3 linked regions of the Cricetulus griseus genome follow. The protein of the gene in region 1 interacts with the protein of each later gene in a biochemical or structural test. Links are inferred from orthologs where the notes say so. Each region holds a gene or a part of one and is shown in the gene's direction. Other genes may lie near its edges. The genes, in order: Pxn, Tln1 and Ptpn12.

Evidence for each region.
Region 2: the proteins of Pxn (region 1) and Tln1 form a complex in vitro, tested with the Homo sapiens proteins (3 studies listed by BioGRID). The link is inferred for Cricetulus griseus from reciprocal best matches to the Homo sapiens genes PXN and TLN1.
Region 3: the proteins of Pxn (region 1) and Ptpn12 form a complex in vitro, tested with the Homo sapiens proteins (4 studies listed by BioGRID and IntAct, with this or other methods). The link is inferred for Cricetulus griseus from reciprocal best matches to the Homo sapiens genes PXN and PTPN12.

Annotation. Positions count from the first base shown.
Region 1 is NC_048597.1:95,638,707-95,642,454, forward strand, and holds the start of Pxn (paxillin), read left to right. Parts: upstream 1-1,070; 5' UTR 1,071-1,085; coding exon 1,086-1,125; intron 1,126-1,229; coding exon 1,230-1,456; intron 1,457-1,707; coding exon 1,708-1,817; intron 1,818-2,152; coding exon 2,153-2,289; intron 2,290-2,377; coding exon 2,378-2,579; intron 2,580-3,558; coding exon 3,559-3,694; intron 3,695-3,748. UniProt on the Homo sapiens protein: Cytoskeletal protein involved in actin-membrane attachment at sites of cell adhesion to the extracellular matrix (focal adhesion). Recruits other proteins such as TRIM15 to focal adhesion.
Region 2 is NC_048595.1:99,984,107-99,987,754, forward strand, and holds the end of Tln1 (talin-1), read left to right. Parts: intron 1-352; coding exon 353-538; intron 539-621; coding exon 622-729; intron 730-1,147; coding exon 1,148-1,253; intron 1,254-1,425; coding exon 1,426-1,550; intron 1,551-1,662; coding exon 1,663-1,788; intron 1,789-1,908; coding exon 1,909-1,971; intron 1,972-2,056; coding exon 2,057-2,239; intron 2,240-2,559; coding exon 2,560-2,688; intron 2,689-2,799; coding exon 2,800-2,925; 3' UTR 2,926-3,376; downstream 3,377-3,648. UniProt on the Homo sapiens protein: High molecular weight cytoskeletal protein concentrated at regions of cell-matrix and cell-cell contacts. Involved in connections of major cytoskeletal structures to the plasma membrane.
Region 3 is NW_023276806.1:173,476,585-173,480,232, forward strand, and holds part of Ptpn12 (tyrosine-protein phosphatase non-receptor type 12), read left to right. Parts: intron 1-2,496; coding exon 2,497-3,464; intron 3,465-3,648. UniProt on the Homo sapiens protein: Dephosphorylates a range of proteins, and thereby regulates cellular signaling cascades. Dephosphorylates cellular tyrosine kinases, such as ERBB2 and PTK2B/PYK2, and thereby regulates signaling via ERBB2 and PTK2B/PYK2.

The DNA of each region.
Region 1 (3,748 bases):
GGCCGCCAGCAAGGATCAGAGCTCGAGCCCCTGGTGTGTAGGAAGTTGAGTTCCTTAGATTTGGTATCTTGTCTCTTTGAAATCACAGCAGTCCCTCCTGCAGGCTTGGTGTCTGGGACTTAAGGAGTCTGAGGAGTCTTGTGATCCTGCCCTTTCCTGCTTTATCACTCAGGGCAGGTACTGCTAGCCTCCAAGCCTACTTTCCTCAGCTCCAAAGACAACAGTTTGGCCTTTTAGGTCACCAGAAGGGGCACTTGTTTGTGACCACGCGTGTAGATGCCTTTAGTGGTTCCTAGTAGATGGTGATCAGTGCAGTGCAGCCACTGCCCCTCGATTGCCACTCACGAGGGCCCAGGAAGCAGGTCACTAGATGCTGAGAGTGAGCAGGTCAGTGAGCAGTGCAGGAAGGAGGGAGGGTGTGGTGAGCGGGGCTGGACTGTACCCAGGCCGTGGCACTGTGGAAGGTCCCAAGATGGGAGGCTATGGCAGGAAGGTCAGTACCTCCAACTCCTGTCCCTCTAGCTGTCCCTTCCTGTCGAGAACCTGAGCCTCTTGTCGGCTACTGCATGCCAGGGTAATGGCAGCTTGTGTTGGAGATCTGACCCACCCCCCATTAAAAGCGGAGTCATGGGGCCCTGGAGTTTCTAGGGCTGGGCTGCTTGCCAGGCTTTGGCAGAGCAGTCTTACTCCCAGCTTGTTGAGGGGGTGGCTGCTGCCGAGCTGGCTTCATGCCAGCCCCCTACCTCTCTGCATACCTTACCCACAGCCTGGGGCCTCAGGAGGAGCTTAGAGCATGGAATTCCGCTCCTACCTGGAGCACAGGTGCTCCCTAAGGCCACCCCCTGTCTTTAGACTTGGGCTGAGGCTCTTAGAAGTCCAGAGAGGACCTGGCTCTATCTACCCAGCCCCTCCCTGTGCTGTGACATGACGTAGGACTCCTCCCACCCAGCTCTCCCAGTTGCCCTCAGGAATCAGAGTTCTAAGCAGGCATTTCTTGCTTACACCAGGCAGCAGCAGCCTAGCCTTGTCAGGAGGAATGCAGAGCCAGGCATCTAACCCCTGAGGGAGGAGAGGACGGGCAGCCGATGTGGAAACTCCAGGTCTCTTCTCCCATCGAAGCAGCAGGTGTCTGCCAGACAGGATCTCTTCAAGTTCAGGAAGGCAGGACACTGCCCCTGGGAAGTGCCCAATAGGGCCAACTCTCACCAGTGGACGTCTTCTCTTTGCAGACGCCCTGCTGGCAGACTTGGAATCAACCACCTCCCACATCTCCAAACGGCCAGTGTTCTTGTCAGAGGAGCCCCCTTACTCCTACCCAACTGGAAACCATACCTATCAGGAGACTGCAGTGCCACCCCCTGTTCCACCACCCCCATCCAGCGAGGCCCTCAATGGCACGATCCTTGACCCCTTAGACCAGTGGCAGCCTAGTGGTTCCCGATACACTCACCAGCAGGTAAGGTGGGGTCTGCGGAGCCCTTGGGGGCTGAGTGGTAAAAGGAGCTGATCTGCCGAGGAGATGGAAAGCCATTGGGGATGGACTGGGATTCTGGGCTCCTAGTCATACACTGCCCTTCTCACCCACCATGTGAGGGGCCAGTGACCAAGTATTAATCACCTGACTAGCTGTGGAAATTCCCTGGTGAGACAAGCTATGAGCAGGAGCTGCCTGGGGGTGGCCTGAGTAAAGTACTCTTTCTTCTGCAGCCTCCATCCCCGTCACCTGTGTACAGCTCCAGTGCTAAGACTTCCGGTGCCTCTAACCCTCAGGACAGCGCTCTCTGTTCCCGAGCAGGCGAGGAAGAACACGTCTACAGGTACAGAACCAGCACTGTACATCAGCCCGGCTTCTGGGAAACCCTAGGGCCACTGGTGGAACTATAGAAGGCCTGAAGGCCCCTGCCAGGCCCTGTGCTTGTCAGCTGGCTCCCCTCTGCCCTGTCACTGCCTTCTCTGTAGAGACAGCATCTCTGTAGTTGAGAAACTGAAGCAAAATTTCCTTCCTCCTTGCCTTACCACATTCCTTCCCTACCCTCCGCCTTCTTGCTGAAGAGACTTGGTAACATTCCACCCCTCCGGCCTTGAGAATCTGGGGCCTGCCACATCCAGTGCAGGGCAGAAGAGTCTTACTTGTTTCCTCTCCTTCTCAAAGCTTCCCCAACAAACACAAGTCCGCAGAGCCTTCACCTACCATGATGAGCTCCTCCCTGGGCAACAACCTCTCGGAGCTTGACCGTCTGTTACTAGAACTGAACGCTGTGCAGCACAACCCTTCAGGCTTCCCTGCAGGTGTGAGCGGGTCTCTGGACTACTCATGGGCCTTTGGGTTCCTAGAGGACTCAGGGATGAGCAACCATTTTGTTTCCTTATCTCCAAGATGAAGCCAACTCAAGCCCCCCACTACCTGGAGCCTTGAGCCCCCTTTATGGTGTCCCAGAGAGTAACAGTACCCTGGGAGGAAAAACTGGGCCCCTGATGAAAGAGAAGCCAAAGCGAAATGGAGGCCGGGGCCTGGAGGATGTGCGGCCCAGCGTGGAGAGCCTCTTGGATGAACTGGAGAGTTCTGTGCCTAGCCCTGTGTGAGTATCCATTAGGGTCTCCCCAGGCTGGGGAAGCTCTTGAAGTCTCACCCCGACTGTCTTCGGGCTGTGTGGTACCTGTCCATCAGCCCTGAAGTCACCTGCTCCCTACAGTGTCTGCTACTTGCCAGGTCCTGGGGATATGGCATGACCCGGCAAAGCCAGGGTTAGCACAGGTTTGCTGATGTGGCACAGGGTTTAGATCATGGCTGTGCCAGCTACAACAGTCTTACTCTCGCTCTATAAGTTGGAATAAGCCAAAGTAGGGCATGGTGACACATGGTTATAATCCCAGCATTTGGGAGGTCGAGGTTTGGAGATCTCAGGTGCAAGACCAATCTGGGCTATATAAGTGAGTTCCAAGACAGTCTGAACTGCATGAGACCATAGCGCAAAAATACGACATAAACTATAAAATAGGTAAAGCAGACAGTAATAATGGAGATGACCCTACATAGTAAATAGAGTGAGACCAAATAGTATATAATAGTATATAATGTTGGGGGGGGTGGGGGCTGGCTCGTAGCTGTGGCAATCACAGCTATTAGGGAAGCCCCTAATAGCGTCAGGTCTTGTTTATTTTGAGGTAGGGTTTCACTCTATATCCCAGACTCTTCTGAAACTCACTATGTAGTAGCCCTCCTGCCTCAGCTTCCCAAGTGCTGGGTTACAGGGATGAGCCACCATGTGTCAGTGTTTATTGATGTGTAATAATCTCGCATGTGTATAGTGTTGAGAGGCTTTGTAGTGGTGCCCCTGTCTTCCTGTAGGGGTACTGTGAACCACCTACCTTCTCTGGTCACCTCACCTCAGCACTGTTTCTTAGCTAGTCACTCTTTCCCAGGGATGGGGATCCCTAAGGTGCTGCTGGGTTCTGGTGGCCTTCCCTGGAGTTGGAGGTGTCGTTGATCTGGAGCCCCCCCCGTGGAGCCTGGGGCTGACCCTTGGGCTCCTTACTGACTCCATGCCTGCCCCACAGCCCGGCTATCACTGTGAACCAAGGTGAGATGAGCAGCCCACAGCGAGTCACCTCCAGCCAGCAGCAGACACGCATCTCGGCCTCCTCTGCTACCAGGGAGCTGGACGAGCTCATGGCTTCACTGTCGGATTTTAAGGTGCCCTCTGATTCTCTCTGTCTTCCCTGCTCCCATCCATTACCCTTCCTCAGT
Region 2 (3,648 bases), on another chromosome or scaffold:
CAGTCAGCTGTGGCCAGCTGTGGCTCTCTGTTAACTGTGATGTAGGAGTATCTGCAAGGATTGACCTATAGTAGCTATTGAAGAAACGTTTTTTTGAGCCCAGCAGTGGTACCACAAGCCTTTAACCCAGCACTCAGGTGGATCTCTTATTAAGTTTGAGGATTGCCAGGGCTACACAGAGAAACCTTTCTCCAACACACACACACACACACACACACACACACACACACACACACACACCATCAGAAAGAAAAGAAAAGCTTTTTGAGGGAACACATGGATATGTGAGCTAAATCACATGACTGTCTTCCCGTCTTAAACGCTGTGAAATCTCCCATCTTTTTTCCCACAGGTCTTCTGTTCCCCAGAACCACCAGCCAAGACCTCTACCCCTGAAGATTTCATCCGAATGACCAAGGGTATTACTATGGCAACAGCCAAAGCTGTTGCTGCTGGCAATTCTTGTCGACAGGAAGATGTCATTGCCACAGCCAATCTGAGCCGACGTGCTATTGCAGATATGCTTCGGGCTTGCAAGGTAGAAATGCTGGTAGTGAGGTGGTGGCATGCGGGGATATGGGAGCCTTGAAAGCTAAAGCTAACCTGCTACTTTGGGAACAGGAAGCAGCCTTCCACCCAGAAGTGGCACCAGATGTGCGGCTTCGAGCTCTGCACTATGGCCGGGAATGTGCCAATGGTTACCTGGAGCTGCTGGACCACGTGCTACTGGTAAGGAGATGTTGCTCCTAGCCCTGACCCAGACCCACCCTACCACCTGTTCCCAAATCCATTCTCATTTCCAAGTCTCCTTCCTCTGGGACTCTTGTTCTCATGGTCTTTGTTTCTCCCATTCATCTCTTCTTCCTCTTCTCTTGTCTCCTTTTTTTCCTTCTCACCTCCCCTTCTCTACCTTTACCGTCTCTTCATATTTCATCATTCTCCTTGTTGTCAGCCGGTGAGTGACAGCCCCACACTTGACTGTGTGTGAAGCATGATGCACTGTGTGTACTTGAGTAGGACAAAGTGTTTGAGGGCTGTGCTATGAGTGCTCTAGAGATTAGGGCCGGGAGCATGGTCTGCCTTGTTTCACGGGTCAAGGTGGAACCTAGGATCTGATGCTCTTTGTGTACACTTTCCCTTCCCCCAGACCCTTCAAAAGCCAAACCCAGAACTGAAGCAGCAATTGACAGGACACTCAAAGCGGGTGGCTGGCTCAGTGACTGAGCTCATCCAGGCTGCTGAGGCCATGAAAGGTAAAGGGTAATGAGAAACGGTATGGTCTCTACTTCTTGGTTGGATAGCTCAGAGCTAGCCTCTGCTTCTAGTCCTCATAGGTGCCAGGGACTGGTGATGCTAAACAAACTCTCTAGTGGGTCTGACCTCCCTACCCTGCCTCAGCATCTTCCTTCTGTCTTCATCCCACAGGAACAGAGTGGGTGGACCCAGAGGACCCCACTGTTATTGCTGAGAATGAGCTCCTAGGAGCCGCAGCTGCCATTGAGGCTGCAGCCAAAAAGCTAGAGCAGCTGAAGCCCCGGGCCAAACCCAAGGTCAGAGCTGTTCCTTCGCCTTCCACCCTCAATAGGGGCAGGAGGTCTCCACCTTTGTCCCCTTTCTTACAGCTTCCCCACTCCCTGGCCCTCTGCAACCTTCTCTTTATAGGAGGCAGATGAGTCCTTGAACTTTGAGGAACAAATCCTAGAAGCTGCCAAGTCCATCGCAGCAGCCACCAGTGCACTAGTAAAGGCTGCATCAGCAGCCCAAAGGGAGCTGGTGGCTCAAGGAAAGGTCAGTACTCATCCCCAGCAGGATGAGGACAAGGTGGCAGATCCCATTTGCATCCTTAGCAGAGCGGCTTTGCAGGAAGGACAGCATAGGTCTAAGTGGGTTCCCTTCTTTCTTCTGCAGGTGGGCGCCATTCCAGCCAATGCACTGGACGATGGACAGTGGTCCCAGGGCCTCATTTCTGCTGTGAGTGTATAACATGAGGCTGGAATGAAATGGAAAGGGCCAGAGCACGAAGCATTTTTTAATCTTAACTCTCTTTCTCCGTTAGGCCCGCATGGTGGCTGCAGCCACCAACAATCTGTGTGAGGCAGCCAATGCAGCTGTTCAGGGCCATGCTAGCCAGGAGAAACTCATTTCCTCAGCTAAGCAGGTAGCTGCCTCCACAGCCCAGCTCCTGGTAGCTTGCAAGGTCAAAGCTGATCAAGACTCTGAGGCAATGAAACGGCTTCAGGTAAAAAACTCTACCCATCCCACTACTGCACCGCTTTAAACTGCCATTCCCACTCACACAATCCAGAGTGCCCAAGGAATAGTGCTGCTCACCGTGGGCAGTTCTTCCCACTTAATTAATGTAGTCATTTCCCCACAGATATACCCACAGGCCAACCCAATCCAGACAATCCTTCGTTTTTACTCCCTTCTCAGGTGATCTCAGATTGTGTAAAGTTGACAGTTAGCACTTTCACACCCGAGATAAGTTTCTTTATGGGCATCAAGGAACTCTGAACTAGAACCCTGAGTTCTCAGGAGGGGCTGTTTCTTCTTGTGCAGGCTGCTGGCAATGCAGTGAAGAGGGCCTCAGACAACTTGGTGAAGGCAGCCCAGAAGGCTGCAGCCTTTGAAGACCAGGAGAATGAAACAGTGGTGGTGAAGGAGAAAATGGTTGGGGGCATTGCCCAGGTGAGCCACCGAGGGACACTGTTGGGAACATGGTCTTGTTGCGTGCGCTATCCCACCCAGCCTCTGCCCTATGCACATCTTGTTGAGCTTTCTTGGCCCTTCATCCCCCAGATTATCGCAGCACAGGAAGAGATGCTTCGGAAGGAACGAGAGTTGGAAGAGGCACGGAAAAAGCTTGCCCAGATCCGGCAGCAGCAGTACAAGTTTTTGCCTTCAGAACTTCGAGATGAGCACTAGGGAAGCCATTTCTATTTAATGCAGACCCAGCCCAGAGACTGTGCCTGCCACTACCAAAGCCTTCTGGGCTGTCAGGGCCCAACCTGCCCAACCCCAGCACTCCCCTAAAGTGCCTGCCAAACCCCGGGCCTGGCCCTGCCCAGTCCCACTGCAAGCCCTGTCCTCTCCCTGACTCCAAGTGCCTTCGTACCCTAGGGCCCCTAAGTGCCTGTCCCTTCCCAGAGTATTAACGCTCCAAGAGTATTATTAACGCTGCTGTACCTCAATTTGAACCTGCCAGGGCCTCCGGCTGCTCCACCCTGCCAGCCGCTTCCAGCCAGTCCCCACAGCTGCATCAGCTCAACTCATCCTATTTTGATACTATATGGCCTACCCCAGCTACCTATGGAGCTTGGGGGTTGTAAACCCCAAAAAGGTCATGCTCCAATAAAGGTGATTCTACCTACCTGCAGCTGCAGCCTGGCTTTGTGAGGAGATGGAAGATCTTCCCCAGGGGTATTGGGGAGGACAGGAGTGAACTCTGTCACCTGACTTGATTGGCTCAGAATGGGAGCAGAGGAGATTGAAGCAGTCTGCCCATCAGGCCTCTTTCTCCTACCTGCACCCAGCAGTCACCCTACTTGGGAAACCCTGCCTGCAAAACCATTTTCTATTCCCATGTCACTGGCCAATCCCGAAGCTTCTAGTGCATCACTAGTCTCTGTGGCTAACAGTACACTTTAT
Region 3 (3,648 bases), on another chromosome or scaffold:
CATCAGGGACTGTCACTGACTCTTACTGGCTTTTAGGACACTGCTCCTCATTCTGCATTGCCTTGCCCAGCCTTAATACATGGGGTGATACTTAGTCTTACTGCAACTTGATATGCCATGCTTTGTTGATACTGTCCTTTTCTAACCTGAAACCCTCCCCGCACTCCCCCCCCCCCGGTTGGGAGAAGAGGAGGGAGGGGAAACTGCAGCCAGGATATAAAATAAATAAATTTTGGGGAGAAGAAAATACAATATACTTGTCAAACTTATAGCCATAGATATAACCGAAGGGATTAAAAAAGAAAAAAAAAAAAAAAAGACTGACCGGGTGTTAATGGCACATGCCCTTAATTCCAGGCAGATCTCTGTGAGTTCAAGACCAGCTTGGTCTACAAGAGCTAGTTCCAGGACAGCCTCCAAAGACACAGAGAAACCCTGCCTGGAGAAAAAATAAAGTTTAGAGCACAATCTAACTGAGCTAGATTCACCACTTAAAATGCAAAGTTTTTGTTACTGATTGCAGGTTGGCATGCTTAGGGTCATATGCTTGTTCATAAAGTAGCTCTCTAACTTTGTGCCTTCTGTGTTGTCTCCCACTGCATTGTTTCCTTTCACTGTTAAAAACATCTTTGTGTCTCAGATATAATTTTTAAAGTTATTGGTAGAGGTCAGAAAAGATATAGCATGGGTAAAAGCAGCTTTCTCAATTCTGAGATGTAAGTAGTATAGAAGGCACCATGTTTTTAGTTGAAAAAAATAAGTAACTATGGCTAGATAGATGGCTCAGCAGGTAAGGTCCCAAGTTGAATTCCTCACCACCACCTGTGACTCTAGCTCCGGGGGAACCAATGTCCTCCTCTGTCCTCCTTGGACTTACATACTCAAACACACAGACACAGTATTTTTTTTAACATGTATGAGTGTTTAAACTTCTTTTACACCTGTCTACACTGTGTGTGCCTGGTGCCCATAGAGGCTGGAAAAGAGTATCAACCGTTTCGGACTAGAGTTACAAACATTTATAGGCTCCCATGTGGGTGTGGGAAATTGACCTGTGTTATGCTTCCAGTTTTTATTATTTTCTTCATTAATATATTACCTTTTAGCAAAGGGGGAGGAGTTGATGTGTTCTGTTTGCTGGTGAGGATTGTACCCAGATTCTCTTGCATGCTCGACCCTCACTGCAGTTAAGCTATACTTAATCAGAATCATAAAGCTATAGAGAACAATTCTTTTTGTTAGAAGTTAGTACCTCTGAAGGTACAAGTATATTAGTCCTCTAGAAGCTCACATCTCTTGAGTAAGGTGGTACACACCTGTAATCACGGCTTTTGCGGGGCAGAGGCAGCAGGTACCTTTAAAGCCAGACTAGGTTATGTACTGAGACTCTGGCTGAAAAGGCAACATAACTTTAAAACAAAAGTTTGCCTTATGTACAGAGCTGAGAGACTGTAGCACACAGACGTGAAAGTTTGCGTAGGAAGAGTAAGATGGGCTGGGAACCATGCAAGTCTGAGACACAGGGGATGGGGCGGCCACACTGTCTGAAGAGGAGGACTTCGGTGTTGATGCCTCCCTGGTGTGCATGGCCTGACAGGACACACAGGGATCTGCTGGAAAGTTAAAAGAACTGATTGCCAAGAACTAAGCCATTAAAATCCCAAGACTTAACGGGAAAACAAGAAGTTCTAGAATGAAAGAAAACATGGTGTCATAAGTGTGAATAATACTAATGGTCGTAGATTTCTCTAAACAAAATAAAAAATATTGGGAAGGTAGAATAGGAGATAATTCCAAAGTAGGAAGTATAGCGTTTAAAACAGAAAGATTAAGAAGTAATAGCAGTGTCAACATCTTAAAATATTAAGGTGTATCTTAAAAGTAGCTGTAAATTTTTTTTCTTTTTCCCAATATGTACTCCTGACTGTCCTGGAACTTGCTATATTTGAGACCAGGCTGGCCTCAAACTCAGAGAGATCCATCTACCTCTGTTTCCAAGTGCTGAGACTAAAGGTGTGTGCTACCACCTCTCAGCCCTGTGGAAAAATTTTAGAGTAGGTACCTCTGGTTAATACAGACTAGAAGAGGGAACTACTTTTTTTCATTAAAGCCATATGACTTTAAAATAATAAATCTGGGCTGGAGAGATGGCTCAGAGGTTAAGAGCACTGACTGCTCTTCCAGAGGTTCTGAGTTCAATTCCCAGCAACCACATGGTGGCTCACAACCATCTATCAAGGTCTGGTGCCCTCTTCTGTCCTGCAGGCATACTTTCAGGCAGAATACTGTATATATATAATAAATAAATAAATCTTTAAAAAAAAGAATAAATCTGTGTTACCTTTATAAATGCAGATTTGTCTTAGTCTTACAAATCAGAACTTTATAACCATATTGTAATGGATTTTAATGTAATAGTTTTTGCTACAAAATTATCATTTGTCAACTTACTTTTAAAATGTTAAACATTGTTTAAATCAGTTTGTTGTTTTCCAGTTGCCTTGTAGAAGGGGATGCCAAGGAAGAAATACTGCAGCCACCAGAACCTCACCCGGTTCCTCCCATCTTGACGCCGTCTCCCCCTTCAGCCTTTCCAACCGTTACTACTGTGTGGCAGGACAGTGACAGGTACCACCCAAAGCCAGTGTTGCACATGGTCTCATCAGAACAGCATTCAACAGACCTCAACAGAAATTACAGTAAACCATCAGATGTTACAGAGAAAAATGAATCAACTGTTGAACACATAGATAAAAAATTAGAGCGAAATTTAAGTTTTGAGATTAAGAAAGTCCCTCTCCAAGAAGGACCCAAAAGTTTTGATGGGAACACACTCTTGAATAGAGCACATGCAATTAAAATTAAATCTGCTTCATCGTCTGTGGTTGACAAAACCTCCAGGCCACAGGAGTTAAATTTAGGTGATATAAAAGTTGATGTTCCTCAGAATTCTTGTGTGGACTGCGGTGCGGCACATTCAGACAGAGCCCCAGATTCTTCAGAAGAATCTCCAAACTCACACACACTGTCACGGCCAGACCGCTTGCCTCTTGATAAGAAAGGACACGTGACATGGTCATTTCATGGACCTGAAAATGCTACCCCTGTATCTGACTCATCTGAAGGCAAATCACCAGATAACCATTCTCAGCCTGTAAAAACTGTGAGTTCAACAGCAAGCTCTACAACAGAAGTGGAGGCTCGTGAGCTCGTGGATCCCCATAACAGCTCCCCTGTGTCGGGAGCATTGCTCAGCTTTACCAACCCTCTTCACTCTGATGATTCAGATGCAGATGAAGGGGATTCAGATGGTGCTGTGACCAAGAGCAAAACTAGCATTTCAACAGCAAGTGCCACTGTTTCTGCTGCCAGGAGTGCCGAAAGCGCTTCCACTAGGAAAGTGTTGCCAATGTCCATTGCTAGACAGGATTTGGGAGGAACGCTACATTCGGGTGCTGAAAAAGGTACTGTGGTCTGACTCTCGCTCTGTTGTCTGCCCATCTCTGTTCTACACAGTTTAGCTCTGTCCAAGCATTATGATATCACACCATACTGGAACCTACAGCAAAATTTAGGTGTAGTTTAGATAACATTTTTTAAATATTATTTATTTTTATTTCATGTACATTGGTACTTTTGCCTGCATGT